4 linked regions of the Tamandua tetradactyla genome follow. The protein of the gene in region 1 interacts with the protein of each later gene in a biochemical or structural test. Links are inferred from orthologs where the notes say so. Each region holds a gene or a part of one and is shown in the gene's direction. Other genes may lie near its edges. The genes, in order: CHUK, MAP3K1, NFKBIB and MAP3K14.

Evidence for each region.
Region 2: of the proteins of CHUK (region 1) and MAP3K1, one has a biochemical effect on the other in vitro, tested with the Homo sapiens proteins (3 studies listed by BioGRID). The link is inferred for Tamandua tetradactyla from reciprocal best matches to the Homo sapiens genes CHUK and MAP3K1.
Region 3: of the proteins of CHUK (region 1) and NFKBIB, one has a biochemical effect on the other in vitro, tested with the Homo sapiens proteins (2 studies listed by BioGRID). The link is inferred for Tamandua tetradactyla from reciprocal best matches to the Homo sapiens genes CHUK and NFKBIB.
Region 4: of the proteins of CHUK (region 1) and MAP3K14, one has a biochemical effect on the other in vitro, tested with the Homo sapiens proteins (5 studies listed by BioGRID and IntAct, with this or other methods). The link is inferred for Tamandua tetradactyla from reciprocal best matches to the Homo sapiens genes CHUK and MAP3K14.

Annotation. Positions count from the first base shown.
Region 1 is NC_135339.1:61,763,736-61,770,987, reverse strand, and holds the start of CHUK (inhibitor of nuclear factor kappa-B kinase subunit alpha), read left to right. Parts: upstream 1-4,055; 5' UTR 4,056-4,135; coding exon 4,136-4,240; intron 4,241-7,252. Other genes in the region: CWF19L1 (CWF19-like protein 1), read left to right, coding at 139-236, 2,333-2,477.
Region 2 is NC_135335.1:103,418,028-103,425,107, forward strand, and holds the start of MAP3K1 (mitogen-activated protein kinase kinase kinase 1), read left to right. Parts: upstream 1-4,022; 5' UTR 4,023-4,029; coding exon 4,030-4,505; intron 4,506-4,626; exon of another isoform or gene 4,627-4,814; intron 4,815-5,054; exon of another isoform or gene 5,055-5,124; intron 5,125-7,080. UniProt on the Homo sapiens protein: Component of a protein kinase signal transduction cascade. Activates the ERK and JNK kinase pathways by phosphorylation of MAP2K1 and MAP2K4. May phosphorylate the MAPK8/JNK1 kinase.
Region 3 is NC_135342.1:25,107,863-25,115,979, reverse strand, and holds the start of NFKBIB (NF-kappa-B inhibitor beta), read left to right. Parts: upstream 1-4,914; 5' UTR 4,915-5,035; coding exon 5,036-5,214; intron 5,215-8,117. Other genes in the region: SIRT2 (NAD-dependent protein deacetylase sirtuin-2), read right to left, coding at 231-344, 565-613, 4,567-4,800. UniProt on the Homo sapiens protein: Inhibits NF-kappa-B by complexing with and trapping it in the cytoplasm.
Region 4 is NC_135332.1:22,168,684-22,176,186, forward strand, and holds the start of MAP3K14 (mitogen-activated protein kinase kinase kinase 14), read left to right. Parts: upstream 1-4,429; 5' UTR 4,430-4,539; intron 4,540-7,503.

The DNA of each region.
Region 1 (7,252 bases):
CGCTTTTTAAAATCTGGTTCCCCAAGTGACTTGGTATCTGTAAACTACTTGTATCTTTTCTTTTTTTGTGGGTTTTTAGACTGAATTTTTGCTAAATTATAGTTTATACTATAACTCATGCAACTCTGTTTACTTTAGATTGCACAGCCAGGAGCAGCATATTTTTATGTTGAACTTGACACAGGAGAGAAGCTTTTTCACAGAATTAAAAAGAATTTTCCTTTACAGTTTGGAAGGTTTGTTTGCTTCTCTTCTTTTAAATGTAATTTTACTAGATCTAATATGAACAATGTAGTGAGATGCATGGACAATTAACACAAAGATAAATAAGGAATAGTACTTGCCCTAAGAAATATATAGACTTAGGGCAAGTCAGATGTTACCATGTGTGACAGTAATTAATGCAGAATATGAGAATGTTTTGGGGAACAATGAAAAAGTTTTGGAGAACAATGTACTTTAGAAATTTAGAGAAGAGAGAGCTCATTTGTACTTGATGGAAGTCTTCATGAAAGGATTAAAGTTGAACCTGAGAGATAGATTTAGAGGACAAAGATTTGGGTGAGGACACTCCAGCCAGGCATAGAAAATTGCTCCATTAATTGAGCATATGCTCTGTGTAGGTTCTGTGCCAGGAACTGTACATGTATTGTCTCAATTTCATGCATTGTCCCTGAATTTCTAAAGTAAATTGTCTTCTAAAACTTTTTCATTGTTCCCTAAAACATTTTCACATTCTGCATTAATTACTGTCACACATGTTAACATCTGACTTGCCCCAAACCATGAGGTCTTAACATCATTATTCTCTATTGTCCTAAAGATCTTGATGAGGCTTCATTTCTGCTCCTAATATTAGGTAGTACGTAACTGAAAAACCACATACAGGGTGATAAAAATTAAGCCAAGACTGAAGACGGAGACGTTGGCAAGAAGAGACAGAGGATAGAGGAGAATAGAAAATGTGCAGAACAGATTATCTAAAGCTGGTGTCTCATTTGTAGCTGTTTTTTACCCCTAGTTAGAACTGGGCTTTAAGTGAATCTTGAACCAGTTTTGAACTGATGTAGAATGTGCCCAAGAGATTGCCACTATTCAATAAGTCTAGTAAATGTAATTGTCTGCATTTTCAAAAAGACATTATCTTTTTGTTTTTACCTCAGCAACAAGAAGATGTGGACACTGACTTTGCAGGCTCATGATTCACAGACACACAGGCACATAAAGCCCACAAAAGGGAGATTTTCCAAATGGTTTTGTGCTCATGATGGTTGTATTTTCAACATTTAGTATTTTTCAGAGTACTAATTTACAGTTATGTGGCATTTTATAGGTAAGAAAATAACTTAGAAAGATATCATTTTCCCAACTATACAATAAAGACAATATTCTCTCTGTTTAACAGATGAAGTAGCTCAGAGGTTTGCCTAAGGAAACAGAACTTGAGCTCCAGTTCTTTGACTTAGAGGAATTCTGTGATTTGAATTCAATTTTTCTACTTATTGTAGCTTCAGAGTAGAATATTGGCCATATAAATGCACAAATAGAGTTATTTCTACTATATCAAAGTGAGTAAAAATAAATACAAATAAAAACGCTGGCATTAGAAGGCAGCTTGTGTGTAGTGTGTCCGCATATAGTAACTTTCAGTCCTGAGGGTCAAGATAAGTTGTTTGGTTGATAGTGAGCTTGTGTAGTTTTGCCTGTGTTGGCCTGAATTCTGTGGAAGGAGAGGCAGAAGAATTTCAAGACAGAGAGGGTATGACACTTGGTATCTCACTTTACTAGGCCCTTATGGTCTAGTTGGGATGACAGACTAGAGTTTAACTTGTAGTCACAGCTATTGTGGAGGTTTGACTGTTATTCCTACACCTTATAAAAACCCTGTAAGGTAGGTGATATTATTCTCATTTCATAGGTGAGGAGGTAAAAACTCAGAGATAGAGTAATTTGTCTAAGTAACAGACCACAGGTGGCAGAGCTAGGAATGGAATCAAGTCTCTGATCTTTCTGACTCCAGTGTCTGCCCTCCTTCTACTGTGTCATGTTGTTTCTCAAAGTATTAACAGTATAATTCAAAATTGTTCAATAGAGGAAGAAGTTAGTGGGGTACAGAGCATTAAGAAACAGGTGGGACCTGAACTGGTCATTTAAGTTGGTATGATGTTGATAGGATGGCAAAGATGGCACTAAGAACAGGAAAATGGTACAAGCAGAGGAATTTGCATACCTTCTTTGGGTAACACTGAGGAGTTGTCTGATTGGAGAGGAACAGAGGGAGGAGGGGGATTTCCAGCTGATGCTGTCCTTTTGACTTTAATTCTTTCTTCAGGGAGGTCCTGGCCAGTGAAGCCATCCTTAATATTCCTGACAAGTCTGACTGGAGGCAGTGTCAGATCAGCAGGGAAGAGGAGGAGAACCTAGCTCGCTGTTTCCGGAAAGAGTTTGAGCCCTTTGACTTCACTCTGGATGACTAACCAAATGGAAAGATTTTTTATGAGCTTCACAGATAGTAGCAGCAGCCTGTTTTTAAAGAAACTACATATACCTATGGGGACTTTTTCCCACCCTCTTTTTCATGCATTCCTATGGAACCTGCCTGCAGTAAGAGGCCTAGGACTGAATATATTTTGGAAAAGTCACATTCATGAAAACCCTATATTAAAAGTATGTCTGTCATCCAGTTCCAAATACAGCCTGGTTTTAACAAAATTTTCAAAAACATTGAAACCATCAAATAAAATTCATAAACTTTTCCATTGTTGACAGGTGTTTTGTGTTCATGTTACTTGTGACTACTGAAATGAGGTGGTGTGTGTAATAGGAGGTATCAAGGCTTTAGGTGTAGTTGTTATCTCAGAATCACACAGGGTGGCCTCTCCTTGAGAAAGCCAGAGTACAGAAGAGATCTAAGATCCTTAACATTTTTTCTCATAGCATTCATTTTGATGTACAAAAGTTCATTCAGTCCTTCAGCAATTATTTCCTCCTATGAGCCAGGTATTTTTTAGGCTCCGGGAGTATAGCCATGTCCCAACATGGTCCCTGTTGTCTCAGAGTTTACATCTAATTGGAGGAGGAGGGGGCAGATTTAAGAAAAGAAGATGAATTCTGCTTTGGCTATGTTGAGATTGAGATGCCTGAGAGATCTAACAGATGTGGCATCTGTTGTTGGGTAGATCTAAACTCATGGACATCTAGATTGGTGGTGATAGGGATTTGGGGATCATAAAGATATAGGCCATTGATGAAATTATGAAAATGAGTGAAGAAAATTCTAAGCTGAGGATGGCTACCTGAGAAATTAATATTTAAGGAGTAGCCTGGAGATAGAGTGGTCCAACAAGTGCACAGAGAAGGAGCACAGAGATCCCTGGGGAATGCCATATTTTGAAAGCCAAAAGAAAAGTAATTGTTCCTATATAATTGGGCACTTATGATCCAGATAGTAAATTTTACTTAATGCTCACGAAACCTCCAAGAGGTAGGTATCATTACCTCTATTTTACTCACGAATAAGCTGAGACTCATACACTTGAGCCCAGAATCGACAAGCCTAGATGAAACAAACTGGAGCTCTGCAGGTCTCTGACAAACGGGACGCTTACGGGAGTGAACTATGAAGGCTAGTGCATCAATGTGCTTGTTTGCGCAGGATTCTTTCGATTTCTTCAGATTCCTCAATATTTAAATAGCTGGTGGCCTTTGCCAGTGCCGGTTCAGTGGGCGGTGGGGTTGAAGGATAAATGGAGCAGCCTGAGAAAAGGTGATGTGAGACAGGGCGGGAGGCAATCTGAAGTTTGGAAAAGAAAAATATATAAGAGAATGGTTTGAATGGAATGTATAATCTGGACAGAGCTTATATTTTCATGACTGGAAAAAAACCCCACAGGATCCTCTAGGTTAGAAAAATGATTACAGCATTCCCAAGAGTGGATTTGGAGGTCTTCCTGGCTTCTCCACCCTTTAACCGCTAGGATTCTGGCCGGCACCCGGAGAATTTGGGGCGGGGCTTTGCTGAGACAGTTCCCGGAAGTGACGCATACATCTCGCGAGAAGAAAAACGCGCGACCCTCGGCGGCCCGGAACCGGCCTGGGAGCAGCGGTTAAGTTAGGTTGCTTCCCCTCCCGCCCCATGGAGCGGCCCCCAGGGCTGCGGCCGGGCGCGGGCGGGCCCTGGGAGATGCGGGAGCGCCTGGGTACCGGCGGTTTCGGGAACGTCTGCCTATACCAGCATCGGGTGAGGCCGGGCGCGAGAGGGTGCGGTGGTGGGTGTTTGTCTGAAACGCAGTGACTGTCAATATATGTGAGACTTGGACAGTGTTGGAGAGCCAGTGGGTCATAGCGTGCGTGTGTGTGATACCGTGCTTGTGAATCCGAAGTTGTGTCTGTAGGAACACGTTGAGAGTGGTCCTGGGTCATTGTGAGAGTGAGCTATTAGGGAGGATTTTTGGTATGTATCAAGGTATTTAGATATTTAGATCTTTTTGTAGACGTGGAGCGTCAGGGTGTGTGGAGCAGGTGTACAGAGTTAATGTATGTGAGCACGAATGGATGAGAAAACGGGGATAAAGGAATGGGGGCTGCCTGTTGGAATGTGTTTTTACCTGTGTGTTCTTGGAGGCCAAGGATATTAGTAGGGGCTGGAGCAGAGAAGGATTCATGGTGGGTCCAAGAGTTAAGCCTTTGGAAGCATGGGTAGGCTTTGGAATAGGACATACATTCCAGGTTGCTTGTGTGAGGACGAGCTGGTGAAAATGATCATGACTTCAAAGGGAAGGAAATAAGATTGGGGAGGGAGGAAGGATTTCAGTTTGTGGAGGACAGCTAATATCGGACCCAGGAATTTTACTTTGAGTTAATTGAAGATGTTTAACCATTGTAGCAGCAGTTAATAATCGTGTTTGAGTCATGTATCTTTTCAGATACCAATAAAAGCTATGAACCCTTACCCCCAGAAAAACGCACAGGCATATCTACACGACCTTGGGTATCTTATGCATTTGCTATTTGAGGGGGCTTACAGTCTCCTGAAGCATATTAGCAGACCTCTTAGGTATATAGACTTTGGGTTAATAATTCCAGCAATGTGGCCTTTGTTTTGACATCTGTAAGATGGGTATAATATACATATTTCATGGGTCTGTTTGAGAGTTAAATAAAATAATAATGTATGTAAAGCTAAGTATACTGTTTCTGGCCCATGATAAGCTCGCAAATATTAGCTGTTGCTGCTATATCACTGTTGCTGTTATCATCTTCATCCTCATTAATTGGTTTTAAAAATGGAAATGTAAGGTAAAAGTGGTGTTCTAAGAAGATTATTTTGTAAATAATGAATTTGAATGGAAAAACATGGGGCAAGATGAACAGTTAGAAAATATTAAAATGCCTGTATTTGGCCTGTGAATGAATAAGGTTATTAAAAAAAAGAAATTATGATTTGCTGTTTTAAGGAACATAGGAGTGGGTAGAGGTCATAATGTGGGTAGGCAGAAGGGGAAATGGGAGTCTACCTGGGGGACGGTAGGCATGTTTGTGGGGCAGAGTGACAAATGTCACTAACAGAACGAAGTTTTGTGAAGCAGATTTCTAGATAGAGCATAGGAGGAAATCTTGGAAAGAGGGCAAATGGAAGGTAAAAGCCTAAGGCATTAAGTACTTTGAAGCCAATGAAGTAATAAGTTTAGTAATTCTCACCGGGAAGGTGTGTGTGGAGGTGGGGGGGGGGGCGGTACTTAAGACAGTCAAAACAAAGAACCAAAGTGCTTTTAGTGGAATGTTGCCTATAGTCTTGTTATCTAAGCCTCCCCATCAACCGATCATAAGAGAGGAAGCATATATGGTGATAGGATTTTGTGACTGCTTCTCCTGGTCTCTGTTTGGGGCTGAATGAACTTATCACTTTTTAAATGGAAGAGACTTGGGTTCCTCTAAAATCTTAGAAATTTCCTGTTGTACATAGAGACCCTTTTCCCAAAATGAGGACATTTGATAGCTGAGCATATATTGAGGAGAGAAGGAATACTCTGTCATAAGACTTGGAAACAGCATCATTCTTTTTCCAAACCTGACTTGGGGTTTACATTTACAGTTTTCGAGATATTCATACGTTTGGTGGAAGCCATGACCCAGTATTTCATCTATACCCTTTAAAGCACAATAAAGAAAATAATGTGAAATGTATTATTTAGCTGATGACATTACTGGTTGCTGGTGAAACCTAAATCTGCAAAAACAGTATTCCTTGCCCTCAAGAACATCTCAGGTCCAGTGGAAGAGATAGGCAGGAAAACAATTAAAATACAATGTGATAATCTATAACAAAGGTATTTGCAAAGTGATATTGAAGCATGGCCATAGTAACTGAAGCATTCTTTCTGGGGAAGAGGGTGGCACGTCTCAAAATGTGTTTGGGAAAACTAATCCCATGAAATACTTTCAAAAAGGATATGATGGCCAAATGCATTTGGTAAATGTTGCGTATACTATTCCTTCATTTGGAGATTCATAACCCATGTTACCATAGTAAGAGCTCTAAGAAATCCTGTAGTAAAGAAACCAATTTTATTTAGTAACTTTTCCAAATGTATTTGAACACAGAACTGGTTTTGTTTTATTTATTTATTTATTTTTGCTGAACATCTATACACTTCCCACCAAACACTCTTTGTGAAGTGGTTGAGTGGGAAAGGCCTGCACAGAGTAAGTGACATAAGAAGTTAAAAGATCTTCTGGGGTGAGACGTTTTTGAAGCAGATTACTTCCTGCCTCATTCTCACTGGAATTTAGGGTTTAACATTGTTCATGGTTGTACCAGATTGTGTTTATGGTGGTGGTCTAGCTTGCTAGCTGCCGGAATGCAATATACCAGAAACAGAATGGCTTTTAAAAAGGGGAATTTAATAAGTTGCTATTTTACAATTCTAAGGCCAAGAAAATGTCCCAATTTAAACAAGTCTATAGAAATGTCCAGTCTAAGGCATCCAGGGAAAGATACCTTGGTTCAAGAAGGCCAATGAGGTTCAGGGTTTCTCTCTCAAGTGGAAGGGCACATGGTGAACACAGAGTTTCTCTCTCATCTGGAAACACACATGGTGAACACAGCATCATCTGCTATCTTCTTCTCCTGGCTTCCTGTTTCATGAAGCTCCCTGGGAGGCATTTTCCTTCTTCATCTCCAAAGGTTGCTGGCTGGTGAACTCTGCTTCTCGTGGCTATGTTCTTCTGCTTTGCTCTCTCTGAATCTCTC
Region 2 (7,080 bases), on another chromosome or scaffold:
AAGCAGAATTTTGTTACAAGATAGATTAAATTTAATAGGTTGTAGTTTTATTTTTAAATCTAAAATTCCAATCCAACTGTATTTTATTATTTACTTTGAAAACTGGATTCTTATTTTAAGTACATGCAAACAAATGCAATATGTTTAAATGGTTGGTTATGAAAATGGAAACATAAAATAGCTTAAATATTCTACTTTCATTTAAAACATATAAATAATAGAGTTTTGTTTGGGGTTGGTTTGGGACTTTTTGCCAGTATTTGACTGCTTAGTGTTCCACACATCTTTCTCATGCTTACAATGTTCAGTTTTACTTTCTTTGACACCAAATGAGAAGTGATAGTTACTTACAAAGTAAATTATTCTGAAGCTGAGAACTTTTTTCCAACCTTCTACAATCATCACACCCACAACTAATTTGATAGATTTGTTTTCAGTGACTTGCCTTCATTCACTCTTTCGAAGCATTCAACTTAAGTTTTTGTTGGAACAACTTTCTTTTGGCACTCATCTACCCATGCTTATTAATAATCAATTTCCTAAAATTTAATTAAATTTCATAAGGACAGTTATAATAGGCTAATCAGGTTTGGGAGCAAATACAAGTGGTTCCTGCAGGGCCCATGACTCACCAGGTGGAAGCAGATGTGGGCAGGTGCATACCAGCCACTGGCCATGGACATTCATTGGGCCCTGTCACCCCTCAGCAGGTTGTACATAAGGATGATGGGTGTGTGTTAATGAATGCGTCAGCTAAGGGGAGGCTGGCTGACTTTGTACTATAATGTCACCTACAATGCCCTTCTGGGGGGACTGGTTATCTACAGATGACAAGATTTCAGGACTCAGAACATCTAGAAACACCTGGGAAGTATGGTGTCTAGAAAGAGCATAGAGAAACTAAGTCCCAGCCCTACTCTGCAAGCATTTCCTAGTAAGTATTTTTTTTTTTTTTTGGTATGGGCTAGCACCGGGAATCGAACCCAGGTCTCCGGCATGGCAGGAGAGAATCTGCCTGCTAAGCCACTGTGGCCTGCCCCCAGTAAGTATTTATAAAGCATGGCAGAACACCAGCTTTTGCCCTACTCTCAAGTTTACATTCTTACTCTTATGCCTTCCTAAGACATAGATCTCTCAAACAGAGGCATGAATACATATGTACATATTGGTAGATCTGACTTTATTAGAGTCAGCCTAATAACCACAAGAGAAAACTCTTTGTATATTTGTAGTACGTGCTTAATAAATATATGATGAACAATGTACAGTCTGCACTATTTCTGCCACTGCATATTAAGTCTGTTCATTTCAACATCAGAGATATTTGTGCACAACGAGGAAACGCACAAACATTAAACTAGATCCTGCAAATGAATGTGATGTAGGAACTGAAGTGCGTCTTAGGTGATTCCCAGAAGCACTAGAAGCAGTGATCTGTAAAGCACTGCGTAAAGGTTACAAAAATTGTTGTGACATAAACGAAACCACTGCAAGGTTTGTATCCTTGAGTGAGGATGGAAATAGTAACTGGAATATTCAGCTCCAGAAGCAATCTTTGAAGTCTCCTTAATGTCATTAAAGAAATCAAATTAAAGCAACTCAGAGTGTACAGAATAGCTTGATAACTGACCTATATCTCTGTGCAGTAATATAGAGATCCAACAAACACAGAAGCTACAGTCTTACCCATACTTAAAACTCAGAAACCATGTTAACAATTCTACGCAGTTAAATTCTCAAAGAAGATGTTGTATTTAACGTATGGCTTTTCAGTCATGCAGGTCCTTTGATTGTTTTTCTCTCTTTAAAAAGAAAAAAAAGTCAGCTTGTCAGTGTGGATGCCTAACGGCAACCAGAATATTTACATAAAAGATTAAGAGTAAAATGATTCAAAACACCAAAAACTTGGGACAGACCATCAGTCAGGTTTCTTGTTAGGGGTGAGATGGGGAGTGTTTGGTGTGCGGTAGATTGAGATGGTCAGAGAAAGTAACTAGCGTTGCATGTGGTACCCCTCTGCTTTGGTCACAAGGACATATAAAGAGCAAAGGTAAATGTTTTGCTGGAGTCCAGTTTTACCTTTGCAACTGTGCCTAAACTTCAAAATTGGGACAATTTTGAAAGGCTTCACATTTCCACTCAATTTTCTCACTTACCTGAGGATGTGTGTGTGTAAATTTAAAGGTTTTTAGATCTAAATAGGAATGTGGAAAGTTTATCCTTTTCAATTTAGGAGTTAGTGGGTGTGGCAATCCCGGAAGACCTGGGAAATAACTACTGTTTGGGTTGAATGATACACTTGGCTACCATTAAAACAGCATATAATTATAGCCTAAATGTAGACTTGAAATTTTAACAGATTTATCCAAACTTTCAAAATTTGTACCGTTGGACGTAACTACCTAAAACTCTTATGGCAGCTGGTGTAGCACCATTCAAGACACCGAGCTAATATAAAATCAGTACCCTTAAAAAATTCGGCTCCGATATCACATTTATACCTGGAAAGAGGGCTTTCATTGTATGTATTCTCAAGAATTCAAAGGAATTATTACCTAGACAGCTCAGGCTTTTGTCTAAGTATGTTTAGACTAACAAGAAAGTTCTCTTTCTGCATGACACTCCCCCCAAGCAAGCAAGCAAGCAAGCAAGCAAACAAGCAAGCGCGCGCGCACACACACACACACACACACACACACACACACGTCAGGTCAGGTCTGTTTAATTTTTCACAAAACAAATCTTAGGGGCACTCCTTCTGTCTTCTGGGAGATTTCCCAATACAGAGAAACCGTCTTAAGGAAAAGAAGGGAGAGAAGAAAAACAAAACAACTCTACCGAGCTTTTCGAAAAAACATGAACATGTAAACGGTGATTTTTCCATCCCAGGGCACCGTATCGCAGGGATTCTCCTGGGGGTTGGAGTGGTTCAAACGCCGCTGCTGACACCGCCAGGCCAGGGGGTGGGGGGAGGAACGCGCTCCGTCCCCCGACCCCGCGAGTAAGAGGGCCGCGCAGCGAGGGGCCCCCGGGGGGCGGGGAGGGCCGGGGCCAGGCTGAGGACCGCGTTGTCGAGCACTTCCTGGCACAGCGCTAGTTCCTTCTCCAAACGTGCTCTACGTGGTCCTGTACTCGCCTGCCTCTCCCAGCGACTGAGCCGAGGGAAAAAACAAAGATCCGTAGGGAACCTGCCCTTCCGCGTCCAACCGGGTTGGGGATGTCTCAAATCAGTGATTTCAGGATGTGAACAAGGTATTCCAGAAAACTTTGAAGTTTTGCTCTTTATGGTCTACGAGTGGTGGGGGACACAAAAAAGGAAAAATGTTTTTTAAAAACGCAACTTAATACTGTCATGGTCTGCGGCTGCACGTCCGCTGAACGCTGGTTTTCTTTCGCCGTGCAGCAGGCGACAGCCCTGGCGCCACCTGCACGGCCCGTACCGGGCGGGAGGAGGGGCGGGGGGAGCTGCGCTCGAGTGCCCCGACGCCCACTGCAAAGGACAGCGCGAATGACAGAGTGCAAGCCCTCTTCCCTGCGTCCTCTTCAACGCACCACAAGCCCAGGTTCACACTAAGTATTTATTTCGGGCGCTGCAGCCGCTGTCGGACGAGCTCCGAACCAGCCAGCGGGATACTGCGGCGGAGATGACACGGCGCGACAGCGCCGCCGAAACCCCTCCTCTCGCCGGTGCTCCCGGGGACTACCTGGCGGCGCGGCGGGCGCAGCGCTTAGAGCCTACAGCGCCCCCGCTGTAGTCAGCGCCCAGCCCACCTCGCCCCGGCCGCGCACAGCTCACGCCCTCCAATCTGCAGCGCCGCCGCCGGCCCGCCCTCCGCCTCGTCGGCAGGCAGGACCCCGCGCTGCAGCCGGCCCAGGCCACCGGCAGAACGCCCGGCGGGCCGCGCTCACGCAGTTGGCGTAGGCGGCCTACGCTGGCGGCGCAGTGCCCGCCCGTCCGCCCGCCCCCCGCGCTCTCCCCGCCCCCTCCCTCCCTCGCAGGGGCCCAGCGAATGTAGCCCGCGAGAGAAAATGGCGGCGGCGGCGGGGAATCGCGCCTCGTCGTCGGGATTCCCGGGAGCCGGGGCGGCGAGCCCCGAGGCGGGCGGCGGCGGGGGTGCCCTCAAGTCGAGTAGCGGGCCCGCGGCGGCCGCGGGGCTCCTGCGGGAGGCGGGCAGCGGGGGCCGCGAGCGGGCGGACTGGCGGCGGCGGCAGCTGCGCAAAGTGCGGAGCGTGGAGCTGGATCAGCTACCGGACCCGCCGCTCTTCCTCGCCGCCTCTCCGCCGTCCTCTTCCCCGTCGCCGGAGCCCGCAGACGCCGCGGCGAGCGGGAGCAACTTCCATCCTGAGGCAGTGCCGCCGCCCCACGGAGCCTCGAACCGCGGCGGCGCCCACCCTGCGGAGCCGGCGGCCGCGCCGGACAGCGGCGCCCCGAACCCCGCGGGGGCCGAGTCGGGGGAGAAGCGGGCACCCGCCGCCGAGCCGCCTCCTGCAGCGGTCCCCACCGGGTGAGCAGCGCGGCGGGGGGCACGGCGGAGACTTGCGGGACGAGTGGAGGGCAATGAATGAATCCCGGACGCGGTGCACGGCGTCCCCGGGGCTCGGCGCAGGGAGGGTGCAAGCCTCTGGCCGCGACCTGAGGTCTCTCCGCCCCCGGGCATACACCCCCTGACCCCTCCGGCGTCGGGCGAGGCGCCCTGGACCCGGCCTGGGGAACTGGACAGGGGCCCGGGGCGGGGACGTGCTGGAGAGTTTGTTATTGTTTGCGGACATGTGACAGGCGTGCGAGCTGCACTGCAGGCACCCGTGGCGATAAGGTGTGGGGGTCCCGGCTTTCTCTGCGGGTCTCCGGGAACTGGGGCGCTCGGAGGAGCCCGGGGCGTGAGCCCCCGCGCTGCACTCGGGGTGTTTCGAGTCCCGGGCCCAGGGGGGCGGGGAGCTGCCCGGCGGCGGTGGCCCCAGACTGGTGTCCCGGGGTGAGGTCGGAGCCTTCGGGCGGGCGGAAAAGGGGCGGGGTAGGTGGGGAGCGGCGCCGGGGGCTCGAGTGCCGAGGCAGGTACCGCGGGTCGGGCCGGGCCGGGGGCGGCGTGCTTCCGAGCACCGGCCGCAGGGGACTCCCGGTGTCCGGTGGGTAATGCCTGTCAAAACTCGCAGGACTTGCAGTCTCTCCTGGCTTTTTTCTGATTGCGTCCCCCAAGGGCTCCGAGTGTTCTTGGGAACGCGAACTGTCCGGGAAGACGTGAGTGACTTCTGTTTGCAGTTTGCATTTGGCCTTTGAAGTTTACATTTGGCTGAGTGGTGTAAGAGCCGGGACCGGATGTGTCAGCCATTCAGTTTCCAAGCGGTGGTGACTGCACGCCGCAGCCCCTCGGGCGAGGTTCGGGAACCGCGGCGCGGTTGCGGCGCTTCCAGCTCTGTGCAGCTGCGCGGGCCGCCCGCCGACTGCCGAATTCCTGGGGTCACAGTACTGGGAGCTTCGGCTCAGATAAGACCCGTGGTGCATTTGAAGTACGATGTATGTAACATAGTTCAGACGAGCGGTTCATGGCCTGACCCCCCCCCCCCCTTTTTTTTTGGGGCAACTGGAAATTTTTATGTTAAAGGAAATACACTAAGTGTGACAGCCTTCATTCCTGTTTTTGAAAAAGATCTGACCAGTGTCTGCAGAGCACAGAGTCTTGGTGGGGTATTTCGAGTTGCTGCAAATGTTTTTGTGAAAGTCACCCGTTGCCCTGTAGAGAAGTACCAGACCCGTACTATGAGTCGTGTGAAGTTCTGCAGGAGTGTCTGTAATAGATTTGTATTTCTTGTGAGATGAGTTTAACAGTAGGAACCTTTAGTTTGGGTTGATTTTCTAATGTGATTTGGCGCTTTTTTGTGAGCTTGATTATTTAAAATCGCCGTTCGTTTATTATTTGCAAGCGCTTTCCCCGCCCCCACCCCCAAAAAAGAACTAAATTTTAAAATATGCCCAGGACTGTTTCATGTCTAGATTGGAAGAAGGGAGATTTGTGTGCACTTGTACATGTAACTCAATCAGAGTTTTATTCCTCTGCAGTTTCCTGTTCCATGCAGATTGCACTAAAACTTAACTGGGATAATTCTTTGAAGACAAATTGTTACCACCAATGTATTCCAGATAAAAATTGTAAACTTGAGAAATTAATTTTATTTCTTCTCATGAGACTTAACTCTTTGGATACGGTAATTCTTTAGTAATTACTTGACATTCTACTATTGAATTGTGAATACAGTATTAGAGTAACCTTTGTGAAAATAATATACAGAGGTTGTTTAGTGTAGTTCCTTGACTCAAAATAAGAGGACTAAGGTAGAGACAGAACTGAGGGACTGAGTAGTCCATGCTTAATTTTTATGTTTTACAACCTAAGCTTTTTCCTGTCTTTGTTAAGGGGTGAATTAAAATTTGCAGTCTGTGCTACACTGGAGTAGTTAGTATAATCTTTTTTTTAAAAATGATTTCATTAACCATAATGCTATTTGTTCATCCCAAATGTCATCTCTAAATATTTTATTTATGGTAAAATAGTGATTCTCTGTCCTTTTAAAATGCATTGATTTTTCCAATTTCCTTGGTGATGGGATTGAAATTCACTTGGTTTGCTTGGACATAAGCACTCTAATTATAAGCAGAGTAATGAAATTTCAGTTGAACTTTACATTATACTTTTTGACAGTAGTTGCATTCGTATTTTCAGGAGGAAAATCTAATGTTGAGATTTTGAAATATTTTTATTTGAGAAGAGCCCCTCTGTCTGAAGGCCTGATGTATTTTTTTAAAGGAGAATTTTGTAATTTTGATTTCAGAATTTTCTTTAGTTTCTGATCTTGGATGTAGATTCAAAGTTGTAGAAAATACATTTGTGAGCTATAAATGGAAATTTTTAAATCTTCTTCATAGTAAAAACTGAAATCAGTAAAAGTTTTGTGCCTGTAAGTGGCGCCCAAGGGTTTGAAATTTTTCCTTTTATTACCGAATTAGGGGCTTTTTCTTCCCATGTACTGTCTTTGAAGAAAAATTACAGTGTTATTCTCCATTGAACAGGTTATTGTGAGTTTAGT
Region 3 (8,117 bases), on another chromosome or scaffold:
CACCACAGCTGCTGGCCTGCTGGAGCTCTCATTGGAGCTGCCAAGACCTATCATTAGCCCAACACAGAAAAAAAGCAGAGTCAAGAGACAGAGTTAGTTTCTTAGCAACAACATGGAAGCACCTGGATTTCAGGCATGCCTAAAGCTGACCAACACACTCCTTTTTAAATTCAGGTGGGCCTGAAAAATCACCGGTAGGGGTGGAAGCCAAAAGCAGGCAGGGGACTCACAGCGCTCGCTCTGCATGTAGCGGGTCACCCCTTCCAGAGTGAGCTCATCCAGCCGTCGCTCCTTCTCAGTGCCCAGGCCCAGTGTCTGGGAGAAGAAATTCCGCAGGAAGTCCACTGACCAAAAAGAAGAGGTATTCCGGCGGGGCGGGCATTTAGTCAGAGTGCACAGTTGTCCTGAGAACCCCTGCCCCAGCCCTGGGATGCCCTGGGCTCCCCACAACTAAAGTCGTGATGGCCAGCCTGGCCAGGCCTGTTGTTACATACTTTGAATGTCACCCCCCGGTGGAGGTGAGGGGGTGGCACCCAGACCCCTGCCCCCCCAGGAGATACTCACTCTCTGCTTCTCCTCCAGTCGCTCCTTCTTCAGTGTCTGAACCTGACTCCTGGAAGGGGTGGGATGAGGTGGCCAGGCCAAGAGGAGGGTCAGGGAAGGAGACAGGAGGGTAGGGGTGACATCCAGGTTTGGGGAGAAGCTCTGGCTGGGGAGGTGGTCCTCAGGAGGTGAGGGGTGATGCAAGGACAGTGCTGGGGTCAGCATGCAGGCTCTGGGTGGGAAACCTGACCCTGTAGCTCCCTAGTGTATAACTGTGGGCCAGTGGCGTCACGTTTCTGGGTCTCCGTGTGTCTTGTCTCTGAAATGGAGCCCGCCTCAGTGTGGCCAAAAAGAGGGTATGAGCTGACATGGGTGAGGGGCTTAGACCAGCATCCTGGGGGTTAACTGCTTGGGAAATGCTTTGTGGTCATCACCTGCCCCGGTCCTTGCCTCTGTCCTATGTCTGGCCTTCAAGTCAACCTCACCAAAGTCACAGGCCTGTCCTCACCCTGCTGGCCCTGTCACCCTCCTCCTTGAAGCCCTAGATAGCCTCCACTTCTGACCCTTCCCTCTCCTTTATTGACCCCTCCCCTCAGCTCCCAAATAGCTGATCTTTGAGACTCCATCCTGGGCCCTCTTTGCTTTCTTTTCCCCTGCCCACCCCACCCCCATCCCCAGACCACCGCTCTCACCCACACCCATGGCCTAAGCTTAGACACTGAGGACGCCCACCTCTTTGTCTTCAGATCCGGGGGTGCCCTGTGGCCTCCTGGACGCCTGTCTCTGGGTGACCCCCAGGGCCATCACTCCCATGTGTCCCAAACTAGCCTCCGTGTTTCCCCCAAGTCTGTTCCTCCTTTCGAGCCCCTTCTCAGGGCAGCCTCACCGGCCCCCAGGCTCCCCACTAGAATCCTGAGCCTCATCCTGAATGCCTCCCATGCCCTTGCTTTCCCATCACAGCTCATCAGCCCTGCAGATGTCCACTCAGGCTGAATACCCTCCAGCTGCTCCCCCTGTCCTTTCCCATCCAGGCCCTGCCCTGGCCTCCTTCCTGGGCTCTGGGGCTGATTCTCTGCCTCCCATCTACCCTCTCCTTCACAGGCCCTTCGTTGTTTCTCCAGTCTAAGCATCCAACCATGAACAGCTATGGAGTACCCACGATGTTAGCTCCAGGAGAGCAGGGACTTGTCTGCTGTGTTCATCCCTGAATCCCCAGCTCCTGGAACAGGGTCTGGCCTAGCAGAAGCTCTAGAACCATCCACCATTGGACGGGTTGCCTGCGGTCTATTAGCTCAGGGATGGGTTGTGGTCTGACTACCTCACTCTCCTGTTAAAAACCTATCGGACCATTCTCCCCTCCCCCCAACTCACTACCCTGGTTCTGAGCCTTTTTAATAGGACACCCCCACCCCCGTCCAACCATATTTTTACATTTTTATTGTTTTTTAAGATTACACAAGGTTGGCAAAAACATTGAACATTAGAAAATGCACAACTTGGGGTACTGCTTCTCACCCATTGTCCACCAAGATAACTATTAAGCTTCTAATATGAATTGCTCCAGATTTTTTCTCTGTAAATAAAACCTCATTATCTCTACTTTTCTGATATGAGGATAGCACCTTCTTTGGAATGAGAAATCTCCTAATTGCTCAGAACATGTCCCCCTCAACTAATGCCCACCTGTTCAATGACGACCCTACTTGTGCAGGACTGGTTACCTGGGCAGTTGTGAATATCCAGAAGTTCTGCCGATCAGTGTCTCTAGTCTTACCCCGTTAAAAAAATTCATAAGACTTGACCCCTTTCCCCCTCAAATGAATGTATTGGTGGTTAAAAACAAAACAAAAAAACAAAAACCTAATTATCTTCACAGAAATGGGTCCCACCCAGGCAGGCTGCTGCACTCTGCAGTTTTTCACAGAATTAACTCCTGCAGACCCACCTCGTTGGGTTAAGCAGCCATATAGGATTGCATTGTGTGGGTGTGCCAGCCTTCACTTAACCCATCCACTGACAGCCCTTTGGGCCATGTCCAGTTTTGCCCTATTCTAGACAACACTGCAATTTACATCCTTGTGTCTCTCTCTCTGGCACTGAGGGTCCCTTCTTAATAGTAAACCTTTTTCTCTGAGCCACAAGTGACAGTAGCCACACTCTGGAGCTAGGCGATGGAGAAACCCTGGCTTGACAGGAAGCTCTTCTACCCTCACTATCCCTCTGTTGGGCCTTCGTGAGGAACTGTGACACGGCCTCTGCACCGACCTACATCTGAAAAGCATTGGTAGCAGGCTGGGCTCCTTCAGGCTGTAGACAATGAGGCTCTGTGGGAGGATGGCAGGCCCTGTCCAGCTCGTGGGGCAGCCCTGCCTGCAGAGGAGGTGGAGGTGCTGGCTGACGCCCATAAGCTTCTGGAAGGCTGCCCTGACCACCTCCTGCTTAGCACCTATGAGGCAGGGGGCCGGGTGTCTTAGGTTTGGCGTCCCTATTCCTCTAGCCAAGGGATAGGGGACAAGTCGCTTTAACAACTCTCCCTCAAAATGGCAATGACAGGCCTTCCCCCCACAGGGATGTTGGGAAGATTAAATAAGACGATGTACCCAAAACACTAAGCAGAATATCTGCGACAGAGTAAGTACCCAATAAAAAAAATTTTTTTTTTTTTTTTACCATTCCCAGCCATCAAGCTACCCAATACTTTTCTGCCTCCAGGCTTTCCCTCTGCCTGGAACACCATTTCTCATCTTGTCCAGGAAAATTCCAAGTCACTCCTCACTTATTATATTGTGTCGATAACTCAGTCTTACCTAGATCCGTCTGTGGATTTCTCCAAGGAGGGGCCTGGGTGGTTTCTTCTGTGACCCCACAAAGTATATTCTGGCCCCCACAGCACCCTGAGCTACCTCCACAGTCACCCTGGAGGGTTGGTTTCTATCAGGGACCAAATCCCATGCTTGTCTCTTCTGGGCCCAGCACGAATGAGGTTCAGAAGGATTGGTGGGGAGGGGACAGAAAAGAGGTAAGCTTGGAAGGGCAGGCCTGGGACTGAGGCAGTATACCCTTCTTTGGCAGGCCCCACAATCTACCATCCCCCAGGACGCTGCACCTTGGGGTGGGACGAGGGATTGGGGCAGTGAGCTGAGAGCCTAGTGTGGGATAGTGGGAACAAATCCATCTCTCTCCTTCCCTCCAGTCCACCCTTTCCCCCCATCTCACCTGAGCCTCCTGCACCTTCCCTGTCTGGGTCTCCAGAGGGTCAGAGGCTGGGGGAGGAGGGGGAGCAGACGTGGTTACAGTGGAGGGAATGGTTAAGGTGGAATGAAAGGGTTCAAAGTGGGAGTGGGGGCTAGGAAGACCTAATTATACTAGTGAGGGGAGTGGTAAAAACCGAATAGAGGTAGGGAAGGGAAAAGCAGATCTTAAGGAGAAGCTGGAGAGGGGAAGGGTTTGGAGGAGAGAGAGGAGAAAGGAAGGGATAAAGGGTTTGGAGGAAGTCTCAGGAGTAGTTAGGAAAGCATAATAGTGTGTGTAGGGGCAGAGGGAAGTTTAGAAAGGAGGAGAGGAGATAGGAAGGGATACCCTGCTGGGAGCCGGGTTTGGAAGAGGAGGTGCCGGGATAGGGATGGGTGGTTGGTGGCAAGTTAAGGAGAGGCACAGGTACTTGAGGCAAGAGATAGAAGGGGACACCAGGGGATCCCCTGGCATCCTACAACCAGGTACCCTTAGCAACCAGGACGGCGGCAACCCACGTCCTTAGTAACGAGGGTCTTTAGCAACCGAAGTGCGAGAAACATGCGATTATTAGCAATTTGGGGCACTAGGCAAATGGGCCCTTAAAACTCTCGCGACCCAGACACTCATTAATCAAACACCACGGATCACTTAGCAACGGCCCCTCAAATCCCACTGCCCCCACGCTGCCCGATCTCCTGCCCCACCGCGCCTGCTCTCGGGCCCCGGGGCCTGCAGCCTGCTGTCAGGCCCCGACGCGGCCCGATCCTCCCACCCGGGCCCCTGACTCACGGTCCGGCTCGGCCATGGGCGCGGGACCGGGGCCCTCGGGGCTGTCACCGACCTCTCTGCCCCGTGACGGCACCGGAAACGGGAGGGGCAGTGAGGAGGCAAAGGACTACAACTCCCAGAAGCCACGACCACCGCATACGAGTGATTAGCACAACGCCGCGAGCGTTTCTCTTCGGATAAGGGAGATGAGAGGGCCGGACTACAAGTTCCAGAGGGCCTGGCGTCGGCAGCCATGTTGGTAAAGGGCGCCCGGAAAATGTGGGAATGGGTCGAAAGCTGTAGTACAATAGGACGTTCTGATTGGTCTTGGAGCGGAATGGGGCGGGGAGAGAGAGCTTTGACCCACTCTGATTGGGCAAAGTAGGGGGAGTGTTGGGGAATTCCCCGCAGGGCGGAAGGGTTAGGATCCAGGCAGAGCCCAGCAGTAGCCTGGCTGGGTGCCGCGGGGGACTCCGGAGGCTGCGGGGCTATGGCCGGGGTCGCGTGCCTGGGGAAAGCTGCAGACGCGGATGAGTGGTGTGACAGTGGTCTGGGCTCACTGGGCCCGGACGCAGCAGCCCCCGGAGGACCAGGGTTGGGTCCGGAGTTGGGCCCGGGGCTGTCGTGGGCTCCCCTCGTCTTCGGCTACGTCACTGAAGATGGGGACACGTGAGTGAATCTTAGACTCCCAAGTCTAGCCCAAAGATCAGTTTAACCTGATTCTCCTATGGTGTCTGATCCCGGCTCCCTAACCTCTTACCACTAAATCTGACCTCTAAGCCTTGACTTCCTGACCTCTAACCCCCAAGTCCTAACCTTTGATAACATCAATCTCTTACTCAACTTTGATTCTAACACATTTCTGACTCTCCTTTCTTGAATCTGATTCTCAGCTCCTGGAATCCACATCCCTTCCCATTGATCTGAAAACCGGATTTGAACGTTTTGACTCCAGTCCTGAGACGTTTGTTAGAACTCTGACTCCAGCTCCTCCTGATCTCCAACCTCCAAGATGATCTTTGATCCTTAGCTGGTGACTTATGAGCCTTATACTTTGATTTCTGAAAGTAATATTTGGCCTCTGTTTCTAAGATCCTGCCTTCTGAGCACTAATTTCAAATCTTACATTTAAAGAGAGAATATAGGGTCCCTGAGAACACGGATTCATCCCTTCAACAATTATTCATTGAACTGTTTGTTTTAGGCGCTGGAGTTAAAACAATGAAGACAATAGACAGATATATGACCTTGTGGAACATACATTCTAGTAGGGGTAGACAAATGGACAGAAGGAAAGACAGAAAGGAGAGAAAGAAAGACAGGAAGTAAGAGGCAGAGAGAGAAAAAGAAAGAGAGAGAGAGAGAGAGAGAGAAATGAAACAAATAGCAGGGAAGAAGAGCATTCCAGCAGAAGGAACCACAAGGGAGTGTACCTAGGGATTTTTGTCTGTTACATTTATTGCTTCCCCAGTGACCCAAACAATGCCTGATACTTGGTGGGCACTTCATAAATATTGATCTTATCAAAGAATCAGCTCTTGGTTTCATTAATTTTCTCTATTGTTTTAATGCTCTTTTGTTGATTTCTGTTCTCATTATTATTATTCTATTGGCTTACTTTGGATTTAATCAGCTCTTTTTCTAGTTTCTTAAAATATAAGCTGAGGCCATTGATTTGAGACTTTTCTTCTTTGCTATTATGGGCATATAACACTATATATTTCCTCCTATGTATTGCTTTAGCAAGATCTCACAAATTCTGATATGTTGTGTTCTCATTTTTATTCAATATTCTTTCTAGTTTCTCTTGATATCCTCTTTCACCCATGGATTATTTAAAAGTATGCCATTTCGTTTCCAAACATTTGGGAGATTTTCCAGCTATCTTTCTCATTTTTATTCAATATTCTTTCTAGTTTCTCTTGATATCCTCTTTCACCCATGGATTATTTAAAAGTATGTCATTTCGTTTCCAAACATTTGGGAGATTTTCCAGCTATCTTTCTCTTGAGTTTTTTTAATTCCATGTAGGCAGAGAATATATTTAGCATGAATTAAATCCTTTAAAATTTGTTGAGACTCAGAATGGCCCAGAATATGGTCTAGCTTGGTAATTGTTGTGTATGCACTTGAGAAGAATGTGTACATTGTGTTGTTACTGGGTGAAGTGTTCTCTAAATGTCAGTTAGGCCAAATTGGTTTATAGGGTTGTTGAAGTCGACTAATCCTTGCTAGTTTTCTGTCCACTCAGTCTACCAGTTATAGAGAGAGGAATATTGAATCCCCAAGTATAATTGGGCCTTTGTCTATTTCTTCTTTTAGTTTTCTCAGTTTTTGCTTTGTGTATTTTGAAGTTCTGTTATTAGGGGAACAAAGATTTAGATTGTTAAGTCTTCTTGTCTAATTGACCCCTTTACCATTATAAAATTACCTTCTTTAGCCTTGTAATAGTCTCTGCTTTGAAATCTACTTTGATATTAAATATTTATTTCAACTTTCTTTTGACTAGTGTAGCATGGAATATCTTTTTCATCATTTTATTTTTAACTTATTTGTGTCTTTATATTTAAAGGGCATTTCTTGTAGGCAACATATAGTTGGGTTTTGCTTTTTTATTCAATCTGACAATTCTGCCTTTTAATTAAGGTGTTTAAACACTTTAAATTTAATGTAAACTGTTGATATGGTTATGTTCAAATTGATCATCTTTCTGTTTCGTCCCACCGGTTCTATGTTTCCTGTTCCCTCTTTTTTCTGCTTTCTTCTGGAATACCTGAGTATTTTGTAACTCAACTTTATTTCCTTTGTTGGCTTTTTAGCTATAACTTTTTGTTGTTGTTGTTGTTATTTTAGTGGTTGCTTTAAGGCAGGGGATGCCATACTATGACCCGTAAGCAAAATCCAGCCAGCCTCCTGTATGGCTGTAAGCTAAGAATGGTTTTTACATTTTTTGTTGTTGTTTTCTGTTTTGTTTTTTTGGCATGGGCAAGCACCGGGAATCGGACCTGGGTTTCAGCATGGCAGGCAAGAACTCTGCCACTGCACCAGCATGGCCTGCCTGTTTTTCACATTTTTAAATGGCTAAAAAATATTCAGATATTTTGTGACGAGTGAAAATGATATGAAATTCAAATTTCAGTGTCTATCAATAAAGTTTTATTGGAACATAGCCATGCTCACTGATTTACATTTTATTTATAGCTGCCTTTGTGTCACAACAGCAGAGTTGAATAGTCAGGATAGAGACCATGTGGTTCAGAGAGCCTCAAATATTTGCTATCTGGACCGTTACAGAAAGTTTGCTGGGCAGGCCACGGTGGCTTAGCAGGCAGAGTTCTCGCCTGCCATGCCGGAGACCCAGGTTTGATTCCCTGTGCCTGCCCATGTCAAAAAAGGGAAAAAAAAGTTTGCCGACCCAGCCTTAGGGTTTATAGTATTCAAACCTAATTTATGATTTACCTTTGAGTGATATTATGCCATTTCATGCATAGTAAAGGCAACTTTCAGGAGTATATTTCCATTTTCTCTCTCCTGACAATTATATGTTTGTTGTCATACATTTTATTTATGCA
Region 4 (7,503 bases), on another chromosome or scaffold:
CAGTGTGGTTTGGTCATAATTTTAGCTTTTCTTAGAAATGCTACACGCCACAAAACAACCAAATTTCCTTGTCAGTTACGTTGTTTTACTAGGATGCTTCTCTGAAAATGTCTGCAGTCAGTTATAATTCAGAGCTTCATCTTCAGCCATAAAAGAAAAAAAAGGGACTTTAAATGAGAAGTAAGACAAGTATATAGATTATGTTCTACTCTGGTAAAACTGTAAAGGTAGGACAGGGTCAAAGACCACAACTGATAGTGCTCTTTTGGACGTCTTCAAGTGGAATTTATACAACTACCTCCTTCTATAGGATATGAACATGTCCTTGTTATTGTATATCTATTTTCTGGATGGATAAAGGCTTTTCCTTGTCACAAAGCTGCAGCCCTCACAGTAGATAGAAACCATTAGACTTTATTTTCTCCACCTGGGGAATTTCTGCTATTCTCTCAAGGGATAGAGGCTCCCAATTTACTGAACTTTAATCAAGGAACCAAAAGCTTCACTGTCCCTAACATATTAATTGTCAGGAAAAGTAGAATGAAAAAAATGGTACCATAAAAATTAAATTAGCTAAATTATTTGAATCCTTCCCTCTACCACGGCCTAGGGATCTTTCTTTAGCCTTGATGGCCATAAGGTCTAGCCCACCAGGAGAAGACTGGCTAACCCCCTATGAACTCATAATGGGAAGACCCATGAGGCTTATTATTTCTCCTACTTTACTGATTCCAATCTAAATATTTCACATTTACATTGTGAAGTTGCTAATTATTGTAAGGAATGAATCTCATATACTCAGTTCCACCATTCACAGATCTAGGCTGCCTTTCCCAAGATTCCTCAATATTGAACTCTACATGATCTTTAACCCGGAGGCTTGATATACTGGGATAAACATCAACAAAGAGTGCCTTAGACCTCAGAGAGAAAGGACCTTTTCAAGTCTTATTGACCACAACTACAGCCATAAAACTACAGCAGTATAACTGACCCTTGGGTCCACATGTCACAACTAAAACGAGCTCCAAGCCCTTGGAAGATTAATCCCATTTCTGACCTCAAGCTAAAATTGACACACAGATTCCAGAAACAGACAGCATTTGACACAGACAGATTCTGCCCAAGACATTGGAACAAGTAGATGGTGCCCTAGAACACACCTGAATTTTATTGTATTCTCTGTCTCTTCCTTTTCACTATCTGTCTAAATGTTCTCTTATTCATCCTACATTCCTTACAATGCCCAATATCCATCCCCAATAATACCCTACCTTCATCATGATTTTACTCTATTTCTCCCCTAGGTACACCTGCCTTGAGCACAATTCCTTTGTTCTTCTAGCACACCATATAGCAAAGGAAACCAATCAGGGTAACTGCTGGATCTGTACACATCCCCCACTTAGTCCCCAAATAAGTATTCCTCTAATAACCATCCCCCTTACACTTGCAGACTTGGTCTGACAGGAAACATCTGATACCCAGTCAAAGAGATTATTTTTGGGGAATGACTCGGGGTTGTTCCTTAAGAGCCCCTGAGACTGGGATTACCATGCGGCTTCTCTAACCCAAAGAATATGTTTTTACTAGAAAGCAGACAGACAAAAATGGCCATTTTGTAGGGATAGTATATGTTCAGTTTCTATGTGACAAGACTCCTTTTACTTTTATGAGCCAAGAGTACAATGTTGGGGCCAGTTTTCTGATACCAGTTTTCTCCAAGCACCCCAAGGTTTTAATAGCATAAGAACTTATTCCACTCAAGGCACAAATATTTCTGGTAGGCTGAAAAGCCAGGCGAGGGAAATCGTTGATTAATTGTGACTAAGATATCAGGTAACAATGAAGACGATGTTGGATTAAGATTCTCTTTTTGGTGTTTACACCCAGTTAGCTCTACACAACAATGTTCCATTCATTAAAGGCAATAGATATACCCTTATTAAACTCTTCGAGGACACTATTTTGTATGTAGACAAAAATACTACCTGTAAATTGGGTTAGTTCTTGTAATGCAACTTATGCTTTTCCCCAAATGACTACTAATGATAAGCTTTCAAAAGGGAAAATTAGAGACAAGAGTGCTCTTATGGTCTCTTCCAATACTATAGAAACTTATGAAGAGAATATTGCCAACTGGATCATAGAAAAACCCACTAGCCCAGGCTAACCTCATGGAGTGTTTTGTTCTTGGTACTGTCCCCCTTGTCATTAGGGAAGCCATCTCCTATATGGAAGATACACTAACCAATTACAGTTGGTAATAGAAAAGGTAGCTTTAGAGTTAGAAAAATCTATCTCCCACCCAGGGCAGGCATCAGCTCACTAACTGGCAAAGTATTGGAACTTTGAAAATGACAAAAGGAGTCATTTTGTCTATAAATTTAGAGGAGTCATTCCTCTACAAGGAAGTGTGTGCACTAGTGGGCACACAGTGCTTTGTATTTGTAAATGACAGTCAAAAGGAAGTTTACTAAGAGGTAGTAACAACAGAAGCCCTTGCTTGAGAAGTGTCAGTTTACACACCTCCTGAATCTGATTGGTCTGAGTCTCTTTTTGGTTGGATTCTAGGGTCATGGGGATCTTGGCTCAGAGATATTCTAATAAGGGCACTTGTCATCCTTTTAATCATATTTATAATATCCCTCATTTGTTGTCTGATTTCTGTCCTCTTAAATGCTGCTGCACAGTCACTAACTTGACAACTGATAACTGAGGATTCAAAACCACTCTGAATGGGATGAACAAAAATCTTGAACTTCAGCTAACCTATGAAAACAATAATGAAACACAAGGCTTCAAGTGGCAAATAAGAGACTAACAACATCTTTGGTAAAGCCTTTGAAACAGAGGGAATGACCATAAGAAGGAAAATTAATAAAATTATATAAAGACAGCTCTGGGGACCCTTCAGAGCCCCCAAACCCCGTGCGTTACTTCCTCTTTGAACTCTCTCTTGACTTTCCCCACCAAGGCAGCTGACCCAGATAACCAATCGATACCCCATTTTATTTGATCCAATACAAAAGGAAGCCTACCTGATCTAAACCTACCCCTATAAGACAGACAAACCCTAGTCCAATCAACAGGAGTCAAGCTATTTTTTTTTAATGTCTATAAAAATCGTTTGCCATCCCGAGAACCCAGAAACTATTTCGCTTCTTACAAGTTATCTGGCTTCTGCTGCTGCAGCAAAACTTTTGATGTCCCAAACAAAATGCCGCAATTTGCAAACTTGACCCCGTTTGTCTTTCGACAATGCCCTTCCCTACTGCCCCAAAGCAGAAATATTTGTCGGGTGCAGATGTCCAGAAAGAGACCTTGAACGACCAAGGACTGTCTTAAAAGTGATCCTGTGGGCAGGTAACCGTGGCTCAGTGGCAGAATTCTTCGCCTGCCATGCCAGTGACCCTGGTTCATTTCCGGAGCTTGCCCATGCCAAAAATAAAAAATAAACGATCCTGAACAGAAGGTGGCCTGGCCACAGTTCCAGAGATGGGGTGCTCTTTGCCTCTCAAAACAGACAGCCTTTGATGGGGCCGGTTCATCTCATCACTAGAATCAGTTACCATACCTGTCCTGAATGCCCTGATGGGGATGGGGTGTCCAGGGTAAGGGCGCATTTTTTATTTTGCAAACTTTTCAAAATAAATTTTTATTTCTGTTCCATAACCACTAAATCCAGCGAGAGGATGCTTGGTGCAGTCTCTAACCTCAATGTTTCTCTGGCTGTGCATCGCACACTCTTATTACAGGCCTCGGTGTCTACACACAGGCCTGACCTGTGTAGGCCCTTGGCTCCCTAAGCTTCTCGAGGCAAGCACTGCAACCTGCTTTCCTCTTCTTTAGGGACTCAACAGCGCCAGACACACAGCAAGCGCTCAATAAAAGTGTTTTTAATCCCATCACCACCTCCTTCAGCCGCCACCGCCCAGCAGCAAAGAGGAAGCAGAACTAGACCCAGGAGGGGGAGCGCCTCGCCGTCTCCAAGGTAACCCAAGTCAGAGACTGGGAGTGCCCGCGCACGCGCACATTCGCCCTTCCTTCCCGTAACCTCAAGAAAGCAAGCGGTAAAAACTGCCAGAAGCCGAGCGCGCATGTGTAGTTACACCAACCACCTCGACCGCCTCCGCCTTCTGTCAGTCTGTTCGCCCTACAATCTCTTTTCTATAAACTGTCCGGAAAGATTGCCCTTTTCTGGAAACTGGGCCTCGAGAACCAATCGTCGCTAGAGGGGCGGGCCGACAGGGGCGGGCCTAGGAGAGCACTGGGGCCGTCTCATTGGTTAGTGTGGGGGGGTGGGCGGAGCCAAGGATCACGTTGAGGCCCGAGAAAGCAGGCTCCAAGCGAGGCAAAGTTGGAGCCGCCGGGGGAGGCGTGGCCGCGGGGGCGACCGGGAAGGTGGTGAGGGGGCGGGTCCCGAAGCCGGGGCGGGGCGACAGTGCTCCGGGAGGGCAGCCGGCGGCCACCCGCGACGGGAGATCGCGGGAGAGGGGAGCGCGACACTTGCTGGCTGGGGAGATCGGCGCTCGGCCGGTAGGTGACTGAGCGGGACCCCGGGGTCGGCATTGAGAGAGTGGCGGGGACGAGTTGCCCCCCCGGTCCCTGAGCCGGTCGCGGCCTGGCCGGCTGCCCAGGAGCGGTGGGGGTCGGCGGCTCGACCCGGGCCCTAGCCAGACCCACCCGCGCGCGGACCCTCGGTCCTCGCGACCCGCCGCCAAACGCCGCGCGCCCTCACACGCGCTGCCGGTGCCACGGTCGCACGCCTTGCCCGCCCCGGGCCTCCAGGCCGCACTCTCGCAGGCCACACGCTTGCCTGAAGCGCGCGCAGAGGTGCTTTGCTTCCCCTTCCCCAGCACCCCCCGCCACTGCGCCCAGATGTCCCACAGCCAGGCCGCACCCCTCCTGCGCGGTTCCCTGCGCGTCCCCCAGGAGTGGGGCTCACCCCGGCACGGGACGGAAGGTGTTTTCTGCAGAAGTGCGCCTGGTGGGTGCACCTCCCACCTGGCCTTCGCTGGCAAGTTTTTGGGTCACACTCCGAGGCTAGGAGAAGGACCCAAGCCTGCCCTCGGCACCCAGAGGGGCACTGCTGGTCATGGCAGCATCCTCCCTCCTTTCTGGCCCCAGCTCTGCTCTGTAATTCTTCTGTCCTCTCCACTCAGGACATCTTATCTGTCGGCTCTGATTAATATTCCCTTCTTGGAAGCCCATCGTGGTCCTGGCAACTTGCAGCAGCTGGGCACCAGGCAGAGAGTGGCGACTTGTACAGTGCAGAGAGTCCCACCGCCCAGGAGCCTCCTTGGTGCTTGGAAACTTCAGAAAAGTGTCTCCGTCCTAGCTGAGGTTTAAATGTTGCTTTTAACCCTAAAGGGGTGATTTGGAGAATATTGAGTGGTTGTGGGGAAGGGAGGCTCAATGGAGAAAAGATAGAGAAATCAGCCGTGAAAGTGACAAAATGCTTTTTGGTAACTGGAGACAAAGAACACCCGTGACTTGATCTAAAATCAAGTGAAATTAAATATGAGAGTGGGGCCATGACACAAACTAGCAGTCTGAAGTTTATTCCAGGAAAAATGTTGAAAACCCCTTGACTAGAAACGTGGTAAATCTTTCTGAAAGATTACAGGAAGATAGTATCTTAACAGTTGTGCTATGTTTTTTTTTACTTTACTAAGTATCTTCATACCTGTAATCTCCCTTTTCCTTCAGACATATGTGTGAAAAAATAGAATGATCCTGTTTTATAGGTGAGGTGGGGGGAATGGGGTATTATATTTTTTGCCTGATACCTCAAAGGCATCATAGCTAAGACTGAGGGTGGAAACCTGAGCCTGGATCTCTTGAGTCTTCCCAGGCTCCTTCCCCTGGACCAGGACAACATAATAGGAATCAGATGCAAGAAAGAGGAACAAGTTTTTGGTGTGGTGTTTATTATCTCAACATCAGAGGACATTTAAGAGGTGCTTGTCTTGATTAGAATGTGTTTAGATTTACTCTTGTGTTTTTTAGGTGATTGTTAAAGTCAGTTACTTTGGTTTGGTGTGCCAGACTTCTAAGCTTTTCAGACACCTTTAGGACATATTCTTTGTTTTTTTGAAGGATGTGATGAACTTTACAGAAGATCTCAAAATAAAAGTAACAGTTTCTAACTTTAATTTTAGAAATAAGTACCCAGGTATATGTTCCAGTACCTTTGTGAAATCAGACAGCAAGAAACTACAAAGCTTGGAGTCATCTTCGGACTATTTTCAGATTACAGGGAGCAATTCTGAAGGGGGTTTTTCACTCATGGTATTGTCTGTTAGAGTTTGTGGGAGCAGCACCAGAGAGACCCTGCCAAACGGGCCTTCATCTATTAAACAAAACTGTCTGGTTGGGCCGTTTATCTGAACAGATGGAGATTTGGTTCCTCATTTTGATTCTCCTGTTGAACACTGACTCCTTTGTAATCTACTTGGAGTGTTTATCATTTAATGTTGAGAAGTGGGCTTGCCCTCATTAGTTGTTCAACCCTAGACAATTGTTGTGATTTTGTGTGTGTGTATGTATGTGTGTGTGTGTGTGTGATAACAGTTCATCCCTGGCCAGAGTCTCGTGAGAGCTCTGTAGAGCTGTGAAAGAGGTGAAGCTTCATCCAGGATTGTTTTCTTTGTTGTTGGCACCCTCTTATAAGTGTTCTATAACTTTGGCCTGTGAAGTCCCTTTTAATTTCCTTTTTTTTTTTTTCCTGTTTCAATGGACGGCACATGGGCTTTCTTAACAATGCTGCCTGCCTTGATGAGGAGCTGACAAATTCACATTTATTGGCCTGAGAGATGGTCTTTCTGGGGGGAAAGTTCAGAAAGTCTAAAAACCAAATTTAGTCCTATATAAAAAGTATAAATCAGCTTGATACACAAACAGGCAGCATTTTTCTACCAATGGCTTCCATCATCTCAAAGCTGTTTTTTTTTTCCTGGCAAAAGGTTAAAATGCAACTAAAATTCTGCTTTCATGATTAATAAGTCACTACCGCAGTTTTGTCTGATGCTTCCTGTTTGCACCATTTTAGCATTTCAGTTAAACTGGAAACATCTGAGCATTATGGGCACTTTTGATGGCACCAGAGTGAAATTGGTGGGGAGAGGAGGAAATCCATGCCAGTGAATTTGGGAAACTGTAAGGAGAAGCCAGCCACTCCAGCCTCTGCACGCTGAGAGCTCTTGTAACAGAAAGGATTAGAGGTTGAGCATCTTCAAGGGGCAGAGTAAGCATTTAGAGTGACGCCCGTGTAAAGGCTGCTGACTGAAATTTTGAAAGCCTTCGATTAGAAATGGAAGGCCAGGCATAGGGCAAATTGTGTAGGCTAACATTTCAGTTGAGCTGAGCAGAACATTGAAGTGTGTTGAATATGGGTCTTTAGTTCTGGGCTCATCTTCTTACCTGAGTGCCAATGCTGAGAAAAGAAATTTTTCATTAGTGCCTGTGCTTCTTTCTTTGTAGTTTAGTTTAAAGGGCCCT